Oryctolagus cuniculus: one gene and its partners. The protein of the gene in region 2 purifies or fractionates together with the protein of the main gene of each other region. This does not show direct contact. Links are inferred from orthologs where the notes say so. Each region holds a gene or a part of one and is shown on either strand. Other genes may lie near its edges.

Region 1 (4,391 bases), on a different chromosome or scaffold from region 2:
TTTATGGCACTCACCCATAAATTGCATATCTGAGAGGCCCAGTGACATCTAGATTTTGAGAGTTGTCTTTTTTTCGCTTCTTCTCAATCATCTGAGCCAAGAAGTTCGAAAATGCTGACAGAATAGCACTGTGGACAAGGACACAATCAGGAGACATGGACAGCTGGTCCTTTCCCACACGTGCTCTGAGGTCACGCTCTGGACTGAAGCCGCTGCAATGGCAAGTGCCTACATCAAAAGGCAGGGACAAAGATTCTCTCTCTCACACACACACAGGTGAGGGCAACCAGCTGGTGGACTGTATGTCAACATTCTGGTTATGCGAGATACCCCAATTTTCTAAAAAGTTTGCCATCCCAGGAGTCAGAAAGGCATGTGGTAACAGAAAGGGATCAGGAGGGACCCTGATGTGGACATTCTTCTGTTTTGCCTGTGGTGACAGATACAGAACCACGGGAGATAAAACTGCACGGAAGTAAACACCTTCACAAGGGTACAGGAGAAGTGAGGAAACCCAAATATGACCTGTGGACTAGCCGTGCGAGCTGTGACGCTGCGCTAAATTTTACAGAATGCAACCGACGGGAGAAACTGGGAAAAGGGTACAAGGCTCTCTCTTGCATAATTTCTTACAACTGAACCCGAATCTACAATTATGGCCCTAAGAATTTCCATCAGAAGCGGCGAGAGGCCCAGTGGCTCCCTCCAGGCCTTGGTCTGTTGCCTTCCGAGAGGCTCTGAGACACAAAACGCACACAGGGCCTTCCAGATCTGACCCCCGCTCCCCGCCCCAGGTCCTCCGCGCACGGCTCGCTCCTCCCTCGGACTTGGCACCCGCAGCTCCCTCTACGCGGACAGCGACTGCGTCCCTTCCACGCACGGCCTGTTCACTGTCGCCCCCCGCAGAGGAGCCCGCCCAGCCGCCCTCTCTCCGCCAGGCCCTCCGTCGAGTCCCTCGCCACGACACCGGCTGCGGGAGGCACCACACGCAGCCGGCACGGGCCGGCCGACGGCAGGCGGGGACGGCCTCCAGCGACACAGCCCGACAGCCCTCCGTCTGCCCGGGACCCGACCCACAACGCTGCGGGCCGCGACTTGGTCCTCCCTCTGCGCGGCGACGCGCCCACCTGGTGGCCGCTTTGGTGAGCACCGGGTACAGCCGCAGGAGGAGCAGGTAGCTGGCGAGTGCCCGCCGCGGGAGCGCCTCGGCCCGCAGCCTCGACGCCGCCGGCGCCATCGCCACCATGCTCTGCGCCGCCCCGGGCAGCCGCCCGCGCCTCGGGTCAGCCCGGGGCGGGGCGGCCCGACACTGCCCACAGCGCCGCCCCGGACGGACCCCGCGCTGCGCGGCGCGCGCCTCCGCACACCTTCTCCCGGGCCCTCGGGGACCGCCCCCTTCCACCGCCCCCCACGCGGCACCACCCATTGGAGCCCCGCGGGCGCCCGCGCCTGCTGATTGGACGGCGGGGCGCTTCCGGAATCTCGCGAGAGTAGGTGGGAGCGCGCCAAATTTCTCCCGGGAAACTGAGACGGTCCTGAGCCGGAGCGATGGTGCTGACGAACACCGGGCGGCGGCGCGCGGAGCCCAAGGCGGACGGCGAGGCCAGTCGGTGAGGGCGGACCCGGTCCTCCGGGGGTCATGCTGGAGGTAGCCGGTGTCTTCCGGCCTGAGCCCTCTGGCAGACGCCGGCCCCTTCCACGGGCTGCCGGGCGGTGTCCGCGCGGGTCGGGGCCGGCGGTCCCGGCGTGGAGGGCTGCGGGCGCCCCCCGCCCCCGGTGCGGGCCGAGGAGCGCTTTCCTGCGCGGCCCGGGTCCGCCGCCGCCGGGGCGACCCTTTCAGGCGCTGACCTCCGCGCTGACCTTCACCCTGTGCCCGCCTCCGCTAGCCGCGGCTGCGTTCGGGGAGGGTCGGGCTGGGGGCCGCGGGGCCGGGGCGACCCGGGCTGCTGTGCCCTGCGCGTCGGGGCCTCGGCACGGCCGGAGAGGCGGACGGCGCTGGGCGCTGGAACTGGGGCTTGTCTCCCCGACGCGCTCGTGGGCCTTGCAGCTCGCGGACGGCGCGGGGCTGCACGGTGGTGAGAACCCTGGCGACAGCCTCGGCTTCCGCCAGAGGTCTCGTGCTTCACACAGCCGCTGGCGGCGAGGGGCAGGGCTGTTAGCCGGGCCTGGGATCTGCTGTGAGGGGGCGATCGGAGCAGCCCCTGCGAGCGGTCTGCGGGGACCTGGAGCGCTGTCTGTGGCGATGCACTGGGACTGCGTTTTCAAATATTGCACTGTAGCTGGATAAAAAGCGAAATACAAAGCTTAGAGAACAGTCTTGAGAGGAGGTGTGGTCCAAGAGAGTGTTTATAGTCCCTTTAATCCAACGCACCTGATTTAAGGATATGTGGGGGACTGCAGTACACAGGACTGGTACTTCGTTCTGTCTTGATTTTTTTTTTTAAGATTTACTTATTTATTTGAAAGAATTACAGAGAGGAGAGGCAGAGAGAGGTCTTCCATCCGCTGGTTCACTCCCCAATTGGCCACAACGGCCAGAGCTGCACCAATCCGGAGCCAGGAGCTTCCTCCGGGTCTCCCATGCAGTTGCAGGGGCCCAAGGACTTGGCCATCTTCTTCTGCTTTCCCAGGCCATAGCAGAGAGCTGGATCCCAAGTGGAGCAGCCAGGACACGAACCGGCGTCCATATGGGATGCCAGCACTGCAGGCGGAGGCTTTACCCATTATGCCACAGTGACAGCCCCCTGTCTTGATTTCTTTTTTTATTTTATTTTATTTATTTATTTTTTGACAGTGAGAGAGAGAGACAGAGAGAAAGGTCTTCCTTTTGGCATTGGTTCACCCCCCCCCATGGCCGCCACGGCTGGCGCGCTGCGGCCGGCGCACTGCGCTGATCCGAAGGCAGGAGCCAGGTGCTTCTCCTGGTCTCCCATGGGGTGCAGGGCCCAAGCACTTGGGCCATCCTCCACTGCACTCCCTGGCCATAGCAGAGAGCTGGCCTGGAAGAGGGGCAACCGGGACTAGAACCCCGTGTGCCGGCACTGCTAGGTGGAGGATTAGCCTATTGAGCCGCAGCGCCGGCCTCCCTGTCTTGATTTCAAGAAAGATCTAGGCCTCAAGCTGAAGCCAAGTTCTCTACCAAGGCTTGGAATACAGTTTTCCTGTTTTTTTTTTGTTTTTTTTTTTTTTTTTTTTTTTTTGACAGGCAGAGTGGACAGTGAGAGAGAGAGACAGAGAGAAAGGTCTTCCTTTGCCGTTGGTTCACCTTCCAGTGGCCGCTGTGGCCTGTGCACCGCGCTGATCTGAAGCCAGGAGAAGAAGAAGTGAAGCCTGTGATTACAATGGGCCCACCCAGATAATCCCCATCTAAAGATCATATTTTTTTAAAAGATTTATTTATTTATTTGAAAGAGTTACACAGAGAGAGGTCTTCCATCCACTGGTTCACTCCCCAAATGGCTGCAATGGCAGGAGCTGTACCAATCCAAAGCCAAGAGCCAGGATATTCCTCCAGGTCTCGCACACGGGTGGAGCAGCCAGGTCTTGAACCAGCACCCATATGGGATGCCAGCTCTGCAGGCGGCGGCTTTACCAACTACACCACAGTGCCGGCCCCTAAAGATCATCTTAATTGCAAGTTATGTTTCTTCACTTATGGGAACATTCACAGGTTTTAGGAATTAGAACGTAGATCTCTTGAGAGATGATATTCTGCCTTCTATGAGTGGCTTTAAGATCCTAATATTGGAACATGGTCATTCTGTTCTTCAAATAGAGGTGGCCCAGGAAGACTCTGGCACAGGACGGATTTTTCCTGAACAGTTCTCTGTCCACTTCTGCATATAAATTAGGATTTGGTGAAATGTGGTAATTTAGGACCTGAATTCTGTATGGACTTGATTTACCTCTTTTAAATTTTTCTTTAGTCCTATTTTGGATATGTAGATGACTTCCTTTTTTCTCTTCCCCTTAAACCTGCGATGAACATCTGTATGTAAAAGATTGTTTCCTGAAAATAGGTTTAAATTCTTAGAAGTAGAATTGCAGGGCCAGATGATAAAGCAATATTTTAAAAACACCCACCTCATGGAGAAACCAAATACCATCAGAGAAGGGATAGTTGTGTAATTTTAAGAATTGTGATACCCTTGGGCCGGCACCGCGGCTCAATAGGCTAATCCTCCGCCTGCAGCGCCGGCACACTTGGTTCTAGTCCCGGTCGGGGTGCTGGATTCTGTCCCGGTTGCCCCTCTTCCAGGCCAGCTCTCTGCTGTGGCCAGGGAGTGCAGTGGAGGATGGCCCAGGTCCTTGGGTCCTGCACCCCATGGGAGACCAGGAGAAGCACCTGGCTCCTGCCATCGGATCAGTGCGGTGCGCCAGCCGTGGCGGCC
Region 2 (2,161 bases):
GATGGCGACAGGGATGGGCACGGCGACTCAGGATGGCCTGAAGTCTGCGGTGCGCAGCTCCTCCGCCGAGGCCTCGGGCTCAGAACCGGTCTGTCTTGCAGGGCTGGTGTGCAGCGGCTCTGCCCCCAGCTGGAAGTGTGTCTGCACTTTGTCTGGCTTCCACTCCAGGGCCATTTACGACATTGCCTGGTAAGACCTCCATCCCCACCCCACTCCTGGTAAAGCAGGGATTTGAGAGACATCGTGACCCTCTGTCCTGCTACCAGCGGGGCACAAGAGAAGAGCCGCCCTGTTTCTGTAGATGAGGCCCCCTGTCCACCATGCTAGAGCCGGCCGGCCTGCGAGTCCCAGGGGCAGGACTCAGCCTTAGACCCAGGAGCCCTGGTTAGGAGCGCAGGCTCTGAGGGCAGCACCAGCCCCGGGATTCACGCAGTGCCAGTCCGTCCAGAGAGCAGGACTGAATCTGTGGATCGGTGGTTGGGGTTGTTACGGTTTGGAAACACAGAGGGAGAGTTAGGCAGAAGACAGTTCTGGCCCTGAGAGGGAGGCCTAAGAATTAATGCTAAACAAAGGAAAAAGTTCATAGGCGTCCAAGCATAATTAGTATTAGCAAACAGTTTGGAGTAACGCATACGAGTATGTTGCAAAAAAAGTGGACTTAAGCAAATAATGGTAAAACTCAGTAGCCTGTTCTATCAGTTAAAAAAGACTTCAAAGCATGGGAAACCACTTATGCTCAATGAGAAGTGTGCTCTTCAGAGCTGCTTGGGGTTTTTAGGTTAGTTATAACTGGAAGGCGTATGGAGGCATCTGCAGACCGAGGGAGGTGCTGCTCGTGGCTCTGTCTTTGGGACACTCCCCGGTAAGACTGAGCTGAGGCCTGCAGCTGGGAAGAGAACAGGCAGGGACTGTAGAACAGATCTCTCTCTCGCCCAGTTTGCCAGACTGGGGAGGGAAGAGCAGTCTGCACACCTCCTGATGGCACATTTCTCCCAGGTGTCAGCTGACCGGGGCCCTGGCTACAGCTTGTGGGGACGATGCCATCCGAGTGTTTGAGGAGGATCCCAGCTCGGACCCGCAGCAGCCCACCTTCTCCCTGACGGCCCATTTGCGCCAGGCCCATTCCCAGGATGTCAACTGCGTGGCCTGGAACCCCAAGGAGCGGGGGCTCCTGGCTTCCTGCAGTGATGATGGGGAGGTGGCCTTCTGGAAGTACCAGCAGCCTGAAGGCCTCTGAGCTGCCTTGACTTCGGCATCACAGTTCCTGAGAAAGTGTGCTGAGACTTTGCCAGTCCCAGGAGGGCCTGGAGGAGCATCCTTGACCTTGATTCAACTTGGCTGGCTTCTCTGCAGACTCAAAAAGAGGCATGGAGCCACAGGGTGGCTGGCTTTTCCCCTCCTTTGACACGAGGCCCTCAGTAAAGAGCTACAGAATGCCAGTCCATTTTTGTTAACTCAGAGTTTGCTTGCTTTGGGACAGTGTTAAATTTGGGTGGGTGGGGAGTGTACTGTTTGTGTGTGTGTGTGTATACAAGGGTATGTCAGAAAGTTCCCAGAGATTGTATATTGTGAAAAGATCATGGGTTTCAAAAAAATTTTTGCACCAAAATAAACATCTTTTAATTCCATTTTCCATGAACTTTTTGAAGTTCCCTCATATATATGTAGAAGGGAGAGTGTGTCTCAGACCTTTCCAAAACTGTAAACTTTACAAAAATAATACATTTGAGTCCAAAGTCTTATTTTATAAGAACAGTCACAATTTAAAAAATTCCGTGGTAGTGGCTGGCACTGTGGCAGAGCAGGTAAAGCCACCACTTGCAGTGCTGACATCCCATATGGGCGCCGGTTCGAGACCCGGCTGCTCTGCTTCCGATCCAGCTCTCGGCTATGGCCTGGGAAAGCAGTGGAAGATGGTCCAAGTCCTTGGGCCCCTGCACCCGTGGGGAAGACCTACAAGAAGCTCCTGACGCCAGCACCGTGACTCACTAGGCTAATCCTCCACCTGTGGTGCTGGCACACCGGGTTCTAGTCCTGGTCGGTGCACTGGATTCTGTCCTGGTTGCTCTTCTTCCAGTCCAGCTCTCCGCTGTGGCCCGGGAAGGTAGTGGAGGATGGCCCAAGTGCTTGGGAGACCAGGAGGAAGCACCTGGCTCCTGGC
Region 3 (4,442 bases), on a different chromosome or scaffold from region 2:
CCATCCGGCCACCGTAAGGGTCTGGGGTGGACCAGCGATGGGACTTCTCCCTCCCTCTCTTAAATAAATAAATATTGAAGGCCGGCACCGCGGCTCACTAGGCTAATCCTCCGCCTTGCGGCGCCGGCACACCAGGTTCTAGTCCCGGTCGGGGCGCCGGATTCTGTCCCGGTTGCCCCTCTTCCAGGCCAGCTCTCTGCTGTGGCCAGGGAGTGCAGTGGAGGATGGCCCAAGTGCTTGGGCCCTGCACCCCATGGGAGACCAGGAGAAGCACCTGGCTCCTGCCATCGGATCAGCGCGGTGCGCCGGCAGCAGCGCGCCGGCCGCGGCGGCCATTGGAGGGTGAACCAACGGCAAAGGAAGACCTTTCTCTCTGTCTCTCTCTCTGTCCACTCTGCCTGTCAAAAAATAAAAAAATAAATAAATTAATTAATTAAAAATAAATATTGAAAATAAATTTGCATATCAGAACTGTGAAATGGTGGTGAGGGACCTGTAACACCTGTGCCGTGCGGCCCCCAGCCCCTTCCTGTCCCCCACGGACGGGCGTGGCCCCTGGCGTGGCACGGGGCGTCCAGGCTCCCCGTGCCCTCTCCTGGCCTCTGCGGCCTGTGACCCACTTGCATTTGGGGAAGAACGAGGAAAACCACTGGGTATCAGCCCTGGGGTAACGCTGCCCCCCCACAGCCAGAGGACTGCACGGCCCAGTGGTCAGCCCGACAGAACCAGGGCCTGGAGCCGCAGGACAAGAGGGGCAAGGGGTGTGCCCTCCACCCTGGACGTTTCTGGAATGTCCAGTGAAGCCACGGGGGACACCTGCACCCCGGGAGTGACAGACGGACAGAGGGCTTCCATTCCCGGGCTCACTCCCCAGATGGCCGCAGCGGTGGGGGCCGGGCCAGTGCGAAGCCAGGAGCCCGAGCTCCGCCGGGGCTCCCGCCAGGGGCCAGGGTGCTGGGGCCCAGGCGCTTGCCTGGCGCTGCTTCGGCAGGTGCCTGAGCCGGGAGCCGCTGGGACTCAGCCCACGCGCGTCCGGGAGCCCGGGCCCAGCACAGCGCCGGCTCCCATAGCTCAGCAAAACGAAACGCAGACCCCGCACAGTGTGCATTTGGACAGGGCAGGATCCGCAAAGGCCTAAGTGGAGTCTGACCAGGCCAGCACTCCCCGCAGCTTATAAAATTCCAGGGAGCGGAGCGGCCCGAGCCCCCAAGGGGTCGCCCCATCCTAATTTCCTCACCGCCTGAATTTATATTTCAGTAGAAACTGAGCGCCCACCGCGGGCCGGCCGCGGGACGCTCTCGGGTGCCCCGGGGAGCTCCGGGCCGGGCAACCCTGGGCCCCACGCCTGGCAGGCAGGCGAGCACCGCACAGGGGGGACCACCCAAGCGGCGCGCGGACCCCAGCACCTGCACCGCCCCCTCCGCCGCCCGGCGCAGGCGCGGGAGGTGTGCTGTGCTCAGCTCGCCGGCAGAGGGCGCGCGTGCGCCGCGGGGCTGCTTTCCGGCAGCGTGGCGGAAACACCCTAGCTGTGCGGCGCCCTTTGACGACCGTTCGCGCGTCGCCTGGCGGCAGTGTGGCTATCATGGCGTCGCCCTTTAGCGGGGTCCTGCAACTCACGGATCTAGATGACTTCATCGGGCCGTCTCAGGTGGGCCCGGCGGGTGGGCGGCTGCGGCGCGGGCGGCGGGCGGCGGGCGGCGGGCGGCGGGCGGCGGGCGGGGCCGGCCCCTGAGAAACGAAGTCCGCGCGCCCCCGCCAGGGCCGGCTCCCTACGCGGTGGCCGAGGGCGGGGGGCCCGGCTTCCCCGCGCGCTCACGGCCGCGGCGTGGGGGCTCCTCCCGCTGCAGGACTGCGTCAAGCCCGTGAAGGTGGACGCGAGGCCGGGGCGCGGCGGGGCCAAGATCCAGGTCGGGGACGACGGCAGCTACTTCCAGGTCCAACAGGTGAGGTGGGCCCGGCGCCGGGGGTGCGCAGGGGGACCCTGGGCGGCGGCCACTCCTGCGCGGAGGCCTCTGCGCCCGCGGTCCCAGCCTGGCTCCCCTGGCCTGGCGCGGGCAGGCGGCGCACGGCGGGAGCTCACAGCGAGGGGAGGTCCCGCTGTCCCGCCCGGCCACTCGCTGCTCCGGAGCCTGGTGGCGGGGGCTGCGGGAGCAGCGCGGGGCCCGGCCGGGCTGGTCCCGGCGGCGTGCGAGCCCGGCGTGCTGCCCCGCAGGGCGGCGGCGCGCGGAGGCTGGAGCGAGCCAGGGTCTCGCTGGACGACTGCCTGGCCTGCAGCGGCTGCGTCACGTCGGCGGAGACCGTGCTCATCGCGCAGCAGAGCCACGAGGAGCTGCGGAAGGTTCTGGACGCCAACCAGGTAGCGGGTCCGGCGGGCGCCTCGGGGGGCCCCGGGCGGCGCGGCCCGGGTGACGCGCGCCCCCCGGCCTTGCAGGCGGCGGCGCCCGCGAGGCGCAGGCTGGTGGTGGTGTCGCTGTCGCCGCAGTCCACAGCGTCGCTGGCCGCCCGGCTCCAGCTGCCCGCCGCCGACACGGCCAAGAGGCTCGCCTCGTTCTTCCGGAGCATAGGTAGGTGGGCGCCGGGGGGGGGGCGTCCACGCGCGGATCCCGAGTGACCGCAGCTCCGAGCGAGCCTGGAGGACGCGCCGTGCCCGGCGTGCTTTCCTGCTTTGTGAGGTTTGTTACTTATTTAAAAGGCGGCGTTCCAGAGAGGGGGACACAGACAGGTCTTCCGCCCGCGGGTTCGCTGAGTTCAACTCGGGGTGGAGGGGCCGGGCGGCCGCCACGGCGGGAGGCCGGGACCCAGGCGCACGGCAGGCGCTGGCGATGCGCCTCGTGGCTGTGGAAGCGGCCCACGGTTCTAGGAGGCGGGTCCCGCCCAGGGGGCGTGGTTGGCCTGGGAGGCGGGGTCCCGCTCTGGGGTCTGGGCCCGTGGCTGGCCCTGGCCCAGGTGCCATGAGCAAGTGCAGCTCGGCTCTGGGAGGCGGGGTCCCGCTCTGGGGGCGTGGCTGGCCCTGGGGGCGGGGGTCCCGCTCTGGGGGCGTGGCCGGCCCTGGGGGCGGGTCCCGCTCTAGGGGCGTGGCTGGCCCTGGGGGCGGGTCCCGCTCTGGGGGCGTGGCTGGCCCTGGGGGCGGGGTCCTTATGGGGGGCATGGCTGGCCCTGTGGCCGGGTCCCGCTCTGGGGGCGTGGTCGCGCTCTGGGGGCGTGGCTGGCCCTGGGGGCGTGGCCGGCCCTGGGGGCGGGTCCCGCTCTGGGGGCGTGGCTGGCCCTGGGGGCGTACCCCCCCAGGTGCAGCTCACGGGGTCGCCCTGCAGGCGTGCACTACGTCTTCGACGCGGCCTTCTCCAGGAGCTTTAGCCTCCTGGAGAGCCAGCGCGAGTTTGTGGAGCGGTTCCGACGCCAGGCGCTGCCCGTGCTCACTTCCGCCTGCCCAGGTGCGTGCGTGGGGGGTCATCTGTGGTCACTTCTGTTGCCCTGAAGTCATCACGTGGATTCCGAGAGCCCCCGGGGGTGAGGGCAGGGCGGGGCTGAGCCCGGGGGTGAGGGCAGGGGGGTGGTCACTGAGCCCCCAGGGGAGAGGCAGGGCGGGCGACCCCCGGCCGCCCCTGGGAGCTGTGGCTGCGTGTCCCGCTGCCCAGGCTGGATCTGCTACGCCGAGAAGACGCACGGCAGCTTCCTGCTCCCCTACATCAGCACCGCCCGCTCGCCGCAGCAGGTCATGGGCTCCCTGGTCAAGGACTTCTTCGCCCAGCAGCAGGTACTGCGTCCACCGGCCCAGGCCGCGCAGGGAGCGGCTCAGGCTCGGTGAGGGGCGGGGGCCTGGCTCTGTGCGGCCGCCGAGGGCCTCTCTCTCGACGTGGCCAGAGGTCCCGCCCGGCTCGGGGAGGCGGTGTGGTCACCTGCCCGCCCCGGCGCCGGCCCCGCTCAGAGAATTCTCGGGGACCCTGCCCTGCGGGAGACACCGCCCACAGCGTGGGGGCGGGTGTGACCGCGTGTCCGCGTCCCACAGCACGTGACCCCCGACAAGATCTACCACGTCGCCGTGATGCCCTGCTACGACAAGAAGCTGGAGGCGTCCAGGCCCGACTTCTTCAACCAGGAGCACCAGACCCGCGAGGTGGACTGCGTGCTCACCACCGGTGCGCGCCCGGCCCCGCCCCTCCCCGGCCCCGCCCACCTGTGCAGCGCGGGTTGGGGGGATGGACTGTGTGCTCGCCACAGGTGCCCGCCCCCACGTCTCCCCGGACTCCGCCCCGCCCCTCCGCCCAGAGGCGCGCGGGTCCTGCCTCTCGGAGACCCCTGTTTGCCTGAAGCAGTCTTATCTCTAAGGTGTGCCGCTCATTTTTATTTATTTGCAAGGCAGAGAGCTCCCATCCCCTGGTCCACTCCCCCAGTGCCACCGCAGCCAGGGCTGGGCCAGGCGGAAGCCGGAGCCCAGGAGCCCA

What was found.
Region 1: the proteins of CIAO1 (region 2) and POLE purify together in Homo sapiens (affinity purification with western blotting; 3 studies listed by BioGRID, with this or other methods). This does not show direct contact. The link is inferred for Oryctolagus cuniculus from reciprocal best matches to the Homo sapiens genes CIAO1 and POLE.
Region 3: the proteins of CIAO1 (region 2) and CIAO3 purify together in Homo sapiens (affinity purification with western blotting; 3 studies listed by BioGRID and IntAct, with this or other methods). This does not show direct contact. The link is inferred for Oryctolagus cuniculus from reciprocal best matches to the Homo sapiens genes CIAO1 and CIAO3.

Annotation. Positions count from the first base shown.
Region 1 is NC_091452.1:874,137-878,527, forward strand, and holds the start of POLE (DNA polymerase epsilon catalytic subunit A), read left to right. Parts: upstream 1-1,451; 5' UTR 1,452-1,548; coding exon 1,549-1,610; intron 1,611-4,391. Other genes in the region: PXMP2 (peroxisomal membrane protein 2), read right to left, coding at 15-128, 1,128-1,246. UniProt on the Homo sapiens protein: Catalytic component of the DNA polymerase epsilon complex. Participates in chromosomal DNA replication.
Region 2 is NC_091433.1:111,312,599-111,314,759, reverse strand, and holds the end of CIAO1 (probable cytosolic iron-sulfur protein assembly protein CIAO1), read left to right. Parts: intron 1-101; coding exon 102-189; intron 190-996; coding exon 997-1,237; 3' UTR 1,238-1,628; downstream 1,629-2,161. UniProt on the Homo sapiens protein: Key component of the cytosolic iron-sulfur protein assembly (CIA) complex, a multiprotein complex that mediates the incorporation of iron-sulfur cluster into extramitochondrial Fe/S proteins.
Region 3 is NC_091450.1:33,991,181-33,995,622, forward strand, and holds the start of CIAO3 (cytosolic iron-sulfur assembly component 3), read left to right. Parts: upstream 1-1,517; 5' UTR 1,518-1,582; coding exon 1,583-1,648; exon of another isoform or gene 1,649-1,847; coding exon 1,848-1,943; intron 1,944-2,212; coding exon 2,213-2,356; intron 2,357-2,431; coding exon 2,432-2,564; intron 2,565-3,311; coding exon 3,312-3,431; intron 3,432-3,635; coding exon 3,636-3,754; intron 3,755-4,006; coding exon 4,007-4,136; intron 4,137-4,442.